Linked DNA regions of Caenorhabditis elegans. The protein of the gene in region 2 interacts with the protein of the main gene of each other region in a pairwise test. Each region holds a gene or a part of one and is shown on either strand. Other genes may lie near its edges. The genes, in order: bmk-1 and pdhk-2.

Evidence for each region.
Region 1: the proteins of pdhk-2 (region 2) and bmk-1 interact in a two-hybrid assay, tested with the Caenorhabditis elegans proteins (one large-scale study listed by BioGRID).

What each region holds. Positions count from the first base shown.
Region 1 is NC_003283.11:14,452,633-14,458,803, forward strand, and holds bmk-1 (Kinesin-like protein), read right to left. Parts: upstream 4,353-6,171; 5' UTR 4,248-4,352; coding exon 4,245-4,247; intron 4,096-4,244; coding exon 4,022-4,095; intron 3,973-4,021; coding exon 3,766-3,972; intron 3,716-3,765; coding exon 2,407-3,715; intron 2,362-2,406; coding exon 1,802-2,361; intron 1,714-1,801; coding exon 1,494-1,713; intron 1,382-1,493; coding exon 1,223-1,381; intron 1,175-1,222; coding exon 1,075-1,174; intron 1,030-1,074; coding exon 770-1,029; 3' UTR 670-769; downstream 1-669. Other genes in the region: F23B12.7 (uncharacterized protein), read left to right, coding at 1-237; coh-3 (Rad21/Rec8-like protein C-terminal eukaryotic domain-containing protein), read left to right, coding at 4,843-4,904, 4,951-5,153, 5,198-5,364, 5,414-5,574, 5,622-5,758, 5,806-5,936, 5,984-6,163.
Region 2 is NC_003281.10:8,737,081-8,743,349, forward strand, and holds pdhk-2 (putative [pyruvate dehydrogenase (acetyl-transferring)] kinase, mitochondrial), read right to left. Parts: upstream 4,333-6,269; coding exon 4,265-4,332; intron 4,038-4,264; coding exon 3,783-4,037; intron 3,675-3,782; coding exon 3,488-3,674; intron 3,438-3,487; coding exon 3,334-3,437; intron 2,494-3,333; coding exon 2,358-2,493; intron 2,093-2,357; coding exon 1,994-2,092; intron 1,601-1,993; coding exon 1,493-1,600; intron 1,212-1,492; coding exon 963-1,211; 3' UTR 606-962; downstream 1-605. Other genes in the region: nssp-33 (DUF19 domain-containing protein), read right to left, coding at 5,009-5,071, 5,457-5,576, 5,626-5,700, 6,065-6,184. UniProt on the Caenorhabditis elegans protein: Inhibits the mitochondrial pyruvate dehydrogenase complex by phosphorylation of the E1 alpha subunit, thus contributing to the regulation of glucose metabolism. Required for normal lifespan.

The DNA.
Region 1 (6,171 bases), on a different chromosome or scaffold from region 2:
GATGAAGATGGCGGCTTTGGAGGAAAGAGTTCTGCGAATATCTTTGGAGATGCTGACGAGTCTAGTGATGAAGAAATCGGAGCTAATGATTACGAAATGGCCGGAGATAAATTCGCAGAAATGTTGGAAGATTTGGAAGAGGACGATGGCAAACGTGGAAAGAAGAAAGGTGGAAAGAAGAGAGGATCGACTGGAGGTTTCAAGAGAGGTGGAGCCAAAAAGTTCAGAAAGCGTTAAAGCTTTTGGATTCATTAATTGTTATTTGTTTTTCTCTGTTGTTTTTTTTTGAATTTTGTTTTCGTATATTTTATCATGTTGACGGAATAAATGTTATCCTTGAAATTACTTCTATTTACTGAGACTTCGCTGAGACTATTTCAGCCGAAACTACAGTAACCTGATAGATTTTCGTAGTGAGCCAGTTTTTTTGAAATTAGAGCGCGCTAAAAAACGCAAAAAACCTAGAATTCAGTAAAATTTGTAACTTCATTTCATGTTTCCAAGATCCCTGTGATAATTTGATCTATAGCTCATTTTTATTCCAGAGGGTTACTGTAGCTCTGAAAAATGAACTAATAGTTTTGTGCTGAATCTTAAATGAGTGTGATAATGAAATATCACCGAAACCTGTTGAAAATTGCTTTCCATGATTTGTTTAAAACGCCGGTCATTAAAATACAAAGAAATTTATTGAATTTCACGAGAAAAATTAGCGGAATACATTAAAGAAATGAGAAAATATTTGACATGGAACGAGTTGGTGTGTGCGTTAGTTTTCGAAATCTTCTTCTTCTTCGATTGCTTGTTCTCTTCTCTTTATAATCGACGAAGGACTGAGGAAATTGTTCGTAGTTTCGAGAAGACTGTCTCGGCGGACGAAGGATGTGACACGACGCTTCTTTGTGGCAAGTTCATCGGTGTCAAAGTCGTCATTTCCTTCTCCAAATCCAAGAAGAACTTCGGGTTCGACTGGCTGATTCAACTCCGAGACGAGTGGGAACGATGGAAGAATTCTTTGTGGGACATTCACTGAAAAAATAATTTTCTTGATGGTTATTTTTTATGATAACCAACCTGATGGGTCCACGTGAACCAGAACAACAGAATTGACAACGGCGGCCGACTCCTTTGTCACGACAATAGTCGATTTCGTGAATTCATCGAGGAGCGAACTCTGAAAGATAAATCACATTATTGAGACACATTTCACGGAAAAACTAACCAATTCGTCTGTTGCTTTCTTGGTGCAATCCGAAACCAGCTCGCCAGTTACTTTGCACTTTTCACTGGTTGCCGAGAACCTGCTTTTCAAGGTGTTCGAAAACTCCCTTGCCTCTCCACGCGTAGCTTCAGCCTCATCCGAAAATGACTTGAGAGCGACCTGAAAACAATGTATTATCTTGCGCGATTGAACAATATTTGGGTTTATGAAAATAGAACAACTTCGAGAAATCGATTTGTATAAATGGATAAAATAAAAATTTGCTGCGAACCTTGACTTCATTTTCCTTTTCCTCCGCTCGTTCCTTTTCAACTTGAATGTGGTTCTCCTGTTTTGCATCAGTCTGCTTCAGAGTCTTTTTCGTGTCGTCCATTTCTTGTTTCACATCGCAAGTCTCCACAATGTTGTCTTCGAGTGATTGAACTACGGTTTCTGCTGTGTTTAGAGTATCCAGAATTGTTTCTTGGTTGTTCTGATCCGCAATTACTTGCCTGAAAAATAAATTATCAAAACATGATCTCACAACAACTATAATGGTCTGAAAACAATTATCAGAAAAAGTCCGCTTGCAAAACTTACTTTTCATGATTCTCCGCAACTTTCGTCGACAGCTGCTCAACTTGCAACATCAATGCCTTCATGGAATCAGCCATCGAAGAACAGGCAGCTCTCACATGCTCCACATTCTTCTTACTTTCATTCGTTCGTGCTTCGTAGCTATCACATGTGGTTTGATGGAGAGTAGATACCAATGGTTTCATATCTTCTGTGAAGTCGGATACTTGTTTCTTCACCTCATCCAATTTGTCAACTACCATCTGAGTGAATTCTTGAGATTTGGCCGAGTATGACTTGTAAAAATCATCACACGTCTTCATGACTGTTTCCAATCTGATTCGATTTTCCATCGATATGGCAGTCATGTTGTCGATGACTTTCTTCTCCGCTTCCGACGATTTCTTCATTATGCATATGGCATGTGTCTCCATATCCATTGCCGTACTCTCAATGTCTCGATGAGCAGATTCCATTGATTTGACATGAGGGCAAATATTTTCCGACAACTTCTTTGATAACAGATCACCATCAGCTTTCAGCGAGTTCGTCAGCTTTGAGGTCGTGTCGATGAAATCACTCATCTGAAAAAAAACATCTAACTAAGAATGAGATAATCCTAATATTACCTTTTTCGAGAAGTGGTCAATGACGATTTTATTCCTGTCGTCAGCTCTTTCCATCTCATCAACTTTTCGCCAAAATGCACGAAGATCAGTCTGCATTTCATCAGCTGCTCCTTGAGATGTTGTAAGTTGATCGAATGCCTTCAGTGCTGATGTGTGCATCAAACCGATAACTTCGATATGCTTGTTGAGCACATCGTTAGTATCTGCGAGTTCTTTCTCTTTGACAGCCATTTCGCGAATTCGATCTCTCAGACGATCCTCGAGTTCTCCTTTTCTCTCGTACAACTGTCTATACTGCTCATCCATGTGCATCTGATCTTCAGTGAAAATTCGCAAACGATCCACAGCATTATCCAAATGTTGTTCGAGCTCCTGAACTTTTTCCGAATTCTTTTGGAACTCATCATGCGATTCTTGGCTGATAATAACACCATTTTTTTCTCTTGCAGCTCTCAAGTCTCTTCGCAGCTTCTCAATTTCGTCCGAATACTCTTTGAGGATAGTCTTCTTTGATAATTTTGTGTTGCAGACTGGCTTATTCTTGATATTGGCCGCTCTCATAGCATATTCCAAAGTACTCTGACTTTCCTCGAAATTGGAGCTTGAAGGAGATAGCGTAGCAATCAAAGAAGTGATTGTAGATCCACCGAGGCTGTCCTGTAGAAGACGAGTTAACTTCGACTCTCTGTATGGAATATGCTGGCCATTGGTTGTCAGTAAACGAATTACTCTTCCCAGCGTCAGAAGCGATTGGTTAATGGAACCAGCCTCTTTAGCACGATTTCCTTGTGCTCCTGATCGTCCGATATTTTCAGAACCAGCCAAGTCAACGAGATTAAGCTTTCCTTGCTTCACCAGTTCCTCGCCAGTGGTTGTATTCTCCCGAATGACGACATTGACCATGAAGAGACTGTGAGATCTGCTACTGTGCATGTTCATCAAAGTGGCCGCCGTTCGTCTTTTCTCAGCACCCAACTGTAGAAGTTTGAAGACATCTGAACGATTTCGCACAGGCACTTCTTCCACGCCCGAAACGATTACTCCCTTCTTGTTTGGATCATCAAAAATGCGAAGGCGTTCACGATCTTCATTATCCGTCGAAGCCAAGAGATCGAACAGTTCTTCATTGTAGAGTTCGATGTAACTGACTCGAAGCGAATACTCCTCACAGCCGCATCTTTCCAACTGCTCGAAAATATCCTCAACGGCACGAGGTATGATTCCAGTCGTAGGGTCATCAGTTGAGCTTTTTGCGTCTGTTCTCCCTCCTTCCATTGTGAACGTTTTTCCGGTTCCAGTTTGTCCATAGCTGAAAATTACTATTATATTGAATATTATTGAACCGTCCTGTCTACTAACGCAAAAACTGTGCAATTAAATCCTGCGATAACCTTCTTAATTTGTGATGACACGAGGTCCGAGTAGATTTCTTCCTGAGTCGTGTCTGGGTCATAGGTCCGGAAAAATGGGCCAAATGACTTTCCCTTCAACTCGATAGCTTGTTTTCCTTTGTCCACTTTCACAACGTTGGTGCACTTTTCACTGCGCTCGGTGCCATTCATTGGCCTATAAAAGGGGCATATTTAACTGAAGTAAAAATAAGTTTAAAACTCACCGAATACGAACAGCGACTCGCAAATTGGACGTGGGCTCGGAGTGCTTCTTGCGGGATGCCATTGTCGAATCCAACTAAAAATAACTAATAAAAATTGTAACTAATAAAAGTGCAACAGGAAAATCAATTTGAAATACAATGATTCGCGGCGTCGTGCGATAGAGCGCACCCGCAATAAATGCATTTACCTCATGGGAAAGAAAGTAACCTGCAAAAATCTTACCATTTTAAACAACAACCCAAGTGAATCGAATGACTGAAAACGAAAAATTAGCAGGGTATTCGGCAGTAGCACAAGATTGAGACAAGAAGAGCAACAAACCGAATCAATAGAGAAATAAAAATGAATTTATATTTTTAGAAACGTGATAACTACATAAGTAGTGGTTAATTACTGTGATATATTTGGAGCGAGGAACAACGGAAAGGACACGCGAAAGCAAAGCATAATCGCAAAATTAAATTTTAAAACTTCTAAAGTTTTTAAAAAAATTTGTTCCTCATAATGCTTAAAAATCTCATCGAAAGCAAAACTATAAACATTCTAGAAATTAAAAAAAAATGGCGATTCAAAACTTCGCGGCTGAACATTGCTGGGTCCTGTCACGAAACAGCTAGATTTGATGTGTGCGCCTTTAAAGAAGTAGTACGGTATGCAATGGTCTCGCAGCGATCGAGCAAGCTTACGCGGAGTTTTCAAATTTATTTTTGGGGTTTTTCACTTTTTTATCATTTTTTCGTTTCTTTCGAGTATCTGCATTAAACATCTTTGCAGTTAAAAATTGCAGAAAGTCAAACGGGTAAGAAAGGTAACAATCAGCATGGTGATAAGCATCGATGTACCGCTCAAAGCGTCGGAGGAAGCGACTGTGAAGTTCCTATTGTAATAAAAAGTATTTTATGCCGGATTAATAAATTTTTTCTTGCAGAGGAATAGTTTTTGGTTCTCACAAGAAACTCGGCTTGCAATCAAATCGTCGTGAGTGCTTCAGACACGATGTTCTTCAAGCAAGCAAGCTCATTCAGTGGATTCTCAGTAACGAGAGGAAAAACAGAAGATCTCTCTCCATTGCGTGTAATTTGGTGTACGGAAACACCATAGTTCTCAGTACTCAAGTTGCTCGACTTCTTCGTACGTTGCCAGTATTTAAATTATCACTTTAACAAATATTACAGAAGATGCAATTCGTGCTCGAGAGATCGTCGCATTCACTTCGTACCTCGCGGAAGAAGATGAGAGGAAACGAAAAACTCGTGAACAGATGGAAGGTGACAACTCTAAAACACCAAAGAAGAAGAGAAGAACGATGGTTGAGGAATTTCCTCTCACTCCTACCCCGATCGTAAGTCTAAATGTTTCAAAAATCAAAATTAAAATAAAATCTATTACAGAGTGTGGCTCTAAAACAAAACATTACAATGCCAGATGTTCTCAGTCTTCACAAGAACGACCAAATTAACGTTGAAGACGATTTGGCTGCACCAACAATGGAACAACTTGAAATGATGTACGGGATGTTGGAATCAGAAAATCGGAACACAGCGATTGATTTGTAAGTTCTCTCCTTATATTGTTTGCAATATATATAGAATATTTCAGAACATTCATCGATCGATATTCCTCCAACGATTGCCGTCAAAATGTTCATAATCTGAATTTGGAGACTGATTTTCAACGCCCATCTGATGACTTTATCCGGAGCCAGCTCATGACACCTACCAAATCTATTCCACAAGGTTGATGATTAAAAATGAATTGTAGAAATATTGTTTTTTATTTATAGAAGAGGAATTTCAACCAGCCACACACCTGAAGGAAATGCTTCTTTTCCGCCAACTCCCCATCACACTAGACGAAACTGAGAGAAGAAGAAGCATGGAAGAAGAAATGGAGGAAGCGAGGAACTCTGGAATCGTATGTATAATATTTAAAGTCTTTAAAAACCGAATGATCATTTTCAGAACACCGAGTTTATTCCGCCACAACAAATGGATGTTCCACGACTTGTCTCGGAAAACATGGATCTAGATGACGAAGTTTCGATTCCAATAAGAATTCCCAAAGTTCCTCTTAGTGCTACAAAGAAACAAACGTCTGAGAACGAAGGAGCAGAAGAAGGGATCAATTATAAAATTCCATTAGTATGCGA
Region 2 (6,269 bases):
ACTGAAAACAAATGAAAAATTACAAAAAATATAACAGGAAAAAAGTCAACAAAAACTGCGCCGCACTCTTGCATGTCTAAACCACGCCCACTTTTCTGTGCCAGCGCCATTTTTGTAGCTTTTTAAAGTTTTTTGAATCAATTCAGAGCTGGACTTTTCGTCAAAGAAATAGTTTCAATTAATTTAAAAGTTATAATTTTTATTTAAAAAATATTTGAAAACTCGTATAGTAGCTTAAAATATTTAAAAAAAAAACATTTCAAACAACAAAGAAAGCGCCTAAACAGAAAAGTATAGAAACAGAGAAATATTTGCACTTTCTGAAGATAGCAAAAAGTACAGATAATTCTATATAAATTTCCAGAAAAGGAGATTTTTTAATGTGCCGCACATCTATGTTCTCAATTGAACTCCATGGAAGCATTCAAATGTGAAAAGGCGCTCACAAAAACACCAAGATTTCCATGGCACATCGTCAGCTTCTCATCCTAGTAGTCGTCGCCGAGTGCGCAGCGCGAAAATTAAATTGTTTTGTCATGGAAGAAAAAGATGGAAAGAAGAATCTTCTCTTCTTTTTTCCACAAACTTGTCAAATTCAAATGTATGAGTTTGAATGATTTATTCCAAAGTTGTGAGTCTAATTCGGGAGGGATTTCAAATCACAACGAACTCGTGAAATACGGGGAGAGAAGAAAAAGAAGAAGAATAGAGCCCATCGCACCTACAAACGATTATATACAAAAAAAATGTCCGAGAAAGAGTAGAGCTAGAAGAAGTTTCAGAAAGAAAACAAATAATTTTGCTAGAAATGTTTTATATACAACAGAATTCTCGGGATTTGATGGACACCGGATAGACAGAAACGGAGAACAGTAGAAGTAAAAAGACGAATAAAATGAATGGCTAGAATATATTCACAACTTACAAAAAAAGAGCAATAAATACAAAAAACTCGAGTACGATCATGATTGAGCTGGACGATTTCCTTGACCAGGAACATGATGCGACCAATCAGCTACTTGTGGTCCCATTGTCAAATTTCGACGCGAAGAAGTACTATAAATTGGGAGTACTTCACTAGCCTCAACTGGTACAGCTTTCAAGTAGATACATGCATCCGTTCCATGTCCTTCCATGGAAACCAAAAAGAGGTCACCAAGGAAATACCGAGCGTATAGTCGAGATAGTGGCAGTCCGTATCCGTAACCAGCCTAAAAATCTCGATTTTTAAAAATATAAACCATACAGTATGAATCTGGACTCTAGTTATTAAAAATTCAACTTATTTTCGAAAAATTAGAAAACTTTTAAATACTGGTTTTTTTCAAAAAAAAAACTCTTAAAACTTCTATAACTTGATCAAAAATTGGCTTTGAAATTTTTTTTGAAACAAAATGTGATTTATAATGGTTTTATTGTTGTTTTTTGGTTTTTCACAAATATAAATTTTTGGTCCATTGTTTTTGTTTATTTTTACTTTCAAAATACTTACCAAAGGAGCTTGTGTTCCATCACGTGGCGGTGGTGGAGCTGTTGAGTACATGTAGTTGTAGAGACGTTCGAGAATAGTTCTGGATACACCTCCTCCACGATCACAAATCTGTAAAAGAAAATATTTGAAACCTGCGGCAAAAATTGCAAAAAAAAACCAATTTTATTTTAAAATAAAACATTCGAATTTTTCAATAACTGTATATACATATGCTAGAATTTTTCCAGTAACTTAAAAAAAAAATTTTTGACAAAAAAATTAAAAGAAAGTTTAGTATTTTTTAGACTCTAAAAAATTGTTTAAAAAATGTTTTACAATCTCTAAAAAGTAAAACAATTCCATAAAATTTAGAAAAAATTCTTTAAATTAAAAAAAATGATACTCAGTATATTGAGACTGTCTTCTGTAATTTAGGGCAAAAATCCACAGAACCTCACCAAAATGTACAGTAATTTTAAATAAAATACGACTGATTTTCGAAACCAATCAATAATTCAATACCTTAATAGATAAATCCTCTTGTCCTTTGACTACATAAACTTTAATATCTGGAAGATCATCATCAACTCCATGATATTCAACTGTCGCTCTCATTGCATTCTGTAAAAAAAAGAGAATTTGAAAACCCCTCCATACACATTTTTCTGTTCTTTCTACTTTCAACTTAATCGTTTCCTTTTTTAATTCCTCTTTTTCCAATTCTCTTATCATTTTCATCTCTTATCTCTCTTTTTCTATCGTTTTTTTAGTATCAAAACTGCAACAGCACGTGGGGAAGAAGTGTGTGCGTTCAAAAAGGCACTTTGTTACATTGAAGTGATGAAGAGGCGTCGTCTTTTTTTTAATTCGTATCTTCATAGCTAACCTTAAACAGTTCGAACATCATGTGATAGAGATGACTTGGTACGGCGACAATCGATATTGGTTTTCCTTTTTCAACGGCATTGTGCATTTCAAGCTTCATTGATGGACTTGTCAAGTAGTATCGATCACATAGAAATCTGTAACAAAAAATTATTATATGAAAATATTAGCTTTTTCTGTTTTTTTTTAAGTTTTTCCGATTAAAATCATGTCGCTAAATTTCAGGTGAAATAGTTTCAGCCGTTCCTTTATTTTTGCAAAAGTGAAAAAAATCATTAAAAATTTTTTTGTGTTTTTTTAACCCTCAAATCAAATTTTCTATGATAATTTTGTAAAAGATCAGAATAAAACTCCCACGGAAATTTTCTAAATCAAAATTGCATATTTTCCTCCTTATCCCTCTAATTCATATTTTCGTTCTTTGAAATGATCAGGTTTGCCCGAAATCACACGCGTTTTAAAAAATCAAACGTCATCCCTCTCCATCTCAAAGAACACTCCCTGCACGGAAGAAAGGTTGAATGGGCAGTGGTGGTAGAGAGAATGAACTATGTTTTCAGGCTCAAATGACAACTGACGACTATGTGCTCACCCAGAGACACAGCACATTCAATCTTCGTCGCAGACGGACAGCGAAGAACTAGCTTATCAAAAACCCAAAAGACGCCATTCGTATAGTTGAGAAGGCCTGATGAGGACCAGAGCGGTCCAACGGAAATTTTTGTTAAAATTTATTGACTTTTCGTAAATTTTTTGAGAAAAATTTACTCAGAATTAATTTATCACAATTTTCTGCAAGAATTAAGAGCCGGAAGTTCTAGCAAAGAAGCAAAAAATGAAGAAATGGAAGGTATTGCTGAGGGCCTTGAACATCAATCTCAAAAAAAAAATTTTAGAACATTTTCTGGTGAAACTTTGGACTTTTATCGGCTTATTTCTTTAATTTCTAGGCAATTTTATCATCAACTTGCACTCACCGAGCATTTTCAAAAGCATCGTACACTACACTTTCCACATCACAGGCAGGATCAATACATCCAACATGACGAGGACTTTCTGGGAGAACATTTCCGAATACAACCTGGAAAAAATGTTTTATTTGAAAATATTAAAATTTTTAAAATAACTTACCAGATGTTGATTTTGAAGCATACGAATGGAAATTCTGTTGATGTAAAATCGATCCAAGAAATATTGAATTCCTTTTTCACTTGCAATATCTACTCCATCCGATTCTCGAAGTTCAATCAATCCTTCAGCCATTGTTTCGACGACATGTGCGTGTCTTTTCAGTACGACTGTTAACTGATCATTGAATCTGAAAAACATAAATTAACATTAATATTTTAAAAATGTATTTCTAAACTTTTAAAACCAAAAAATCAAGTTTTTTTTTGTAAATTAGGTATTCAATTTTTTCTCTTACCTTGCAACTTGCTCTGGAGATGAATCAGATGCCTCGAACAAAAGAAGATCCTCGAAACTCTCAGCATACCAATTTGATACCATTTTTGAACTTGGCATTTGAAGAAGCTTTGGTGGAAGAAGTGTGAATTCCTGCATAATATTCGCCAAACGAACGAGAAGCTCATTTTTCAAAAATGTGTATGAATTTGCTGATGTTCCTATTCGACCGAAATCCAAATATTGTTGAATTGTAAGTGATGAAGGTTGAAATTGACTGAAAAATAACTTTATATTGAATTTTTCATCGAAACAAGATCAAAATTCACTCAACAGTGCAGAAAAATAAAAAAAAAACGACGCCTTAGCCGGCTAAAAATAAACAAAAACTAGTTTTCCCTGGAACAAACAGACCGGGCAGAGAACAAAGGCCATCGATTCCAATATTAAAAACGATACTTTTCATAATCTCCTGGTTTTTAAAGCTGAAACAAATATTATTACCTATAATAATCGAGTTTCTTGGCCAATGAACCCACGAAAGGGCCTAGTAACTTCCGCGAAAAGCGCATCTGAAAATTAATTTGTTTTTTTCTATTTTTGAAATGAAAACGAGAAAGTACAAAGTGGGACAATCAAGAGAAATACGTTGTTTACGCTGCCGCATTGAGAAAATTATGGAATATTGAAAAAAAGTGAAACAGAGAGTATAAATTGCACGTCGGCAATCTCCTCCTCCCATCTCGCTTCGAGTTCGGCCGATGCGATGAAAATCGAGGGATGCGCCAAGGCGGACACTGACGCAATTCAGTGTCTTGCGCAATTCAAGTTTACGGCGGTAGTTTAAAATTACAAATATGGGAATTTGAGCTTTTTGAAGAAAAGCCAGCGTTAAAAACAATAGTTTAAAATAATTATTGATGTCACTGACTTACTTCACTATTTTGCCATTATAAATGCTTTTTTGTAACCGAAAGTTTTTTTTAAATTTTTTTAATGTCGATTACTACTGTACTCGTTAAAGGCGTCGGTTCGGGTCGTGTCGAGACCGGGGTACCGTATTTTTGAGTTAACAACGAATTATATTGCAAATTAACATTACGAATATTTATTTATTGCGCCTCAAATTTCACAAGATTTAAATAAATTAAAGTAAGTAAAAACAAATTGCAATGCCAGAAAAAGTGTGTGAACCAGAACCAGTATACAGAAAGTTGAGAAGAAAAAATGAACTACTCGTTGTAGAGATTAGAATAATGCAGAATGCATGTCACAATTGGGCATTGTCACACCAAGACTGTCACGTGTCACCTGAAATTAGCTGATATTTCAATAATACGGGATTTTTTGCACAAGGAAAGTTATTGATCTTATTTGGAAAATGACCAATTTTCAAATAGTACCCAACAAAAACGTTAGGGGCGTGCCCTAGAGCACTTTAATCTGGCAAAAAGTAGATCTGAAACTTATTCAGTGCATTTATCATTACTTGAAATCTGCCAAACTGATCAAAAATATGTTTTTTTTTAAACTAATGATGGTTGTAGGAACGCTTTTTGGAATTTCTTGGTTTTTCGAAAAAATTACTCTTCTTAACTAGATCGAAAAAGATCAGAATTTTTTAAGAAAAAGAAAAACATCTTGAAATGCCAAATTTTGAGAATTAAAAAAACAATTTTGCCCTTGATAAACATACAGTAGAAACTAATGTCCATGCATCGGAACCACACTTTGCCAAAATAATTGGATGAGAACATCTCAAATATCCATCCATCGCTCGACACATTTCAGTCAAATACGCTTCTGTTGATGATCCCTGAATCTCATACTTGATCTACTCAAAACATGAAACAAAATGAACTCACTTTTGCTCCTTGTGCTTCAGAAATTGCTTGAGTGGCTGCTATCTTACAGCTGATATACTCTTTTTGGGCTTCGACCTTAAATTTGATTACTGTAACTTTGTTGAAGAAGACGAAGAGTGTCACAACATTATTTGTAGATGCAAAAATGTTGTCAATCACAAAAGAGTAGAAACTTAAATTGTAGAAAAATTCTAGACAACTGTCTTTCTGATACTCTTTTAACCAATCAATTGATCAAGTTATGACAGTTATTTTTTTAAAACAGTTGTCCAGACTCTTTCCAAATTAGAAATATTCTAAAGTTTCTTTTGCCGAATACTGTACTTAGTTTATACCAACTTTTTTTAAACCAGTTTGTGATTTTTTATAATATACGATTAAAAGTGTTGTGTCTAAAGTGTGTCTATCTTCAGAATAACAAGTGAAACTGTGGCAGTACCTCTGCAAAACATCCGGCATGTTTCTGAAATAATGGTTGACCAGAACCACACATGTAACTGTATGAAGCATGAACAGCATCAATTGACAAGGAATCACATTTCACTGGTGACACACAATCCTAAAAACATTCAAAGATTTTCGGGATTTTCAGCCAAATTTATGAAAAAGAAAAATTTATGAAAAAATTTACCAATTTTCTGAGT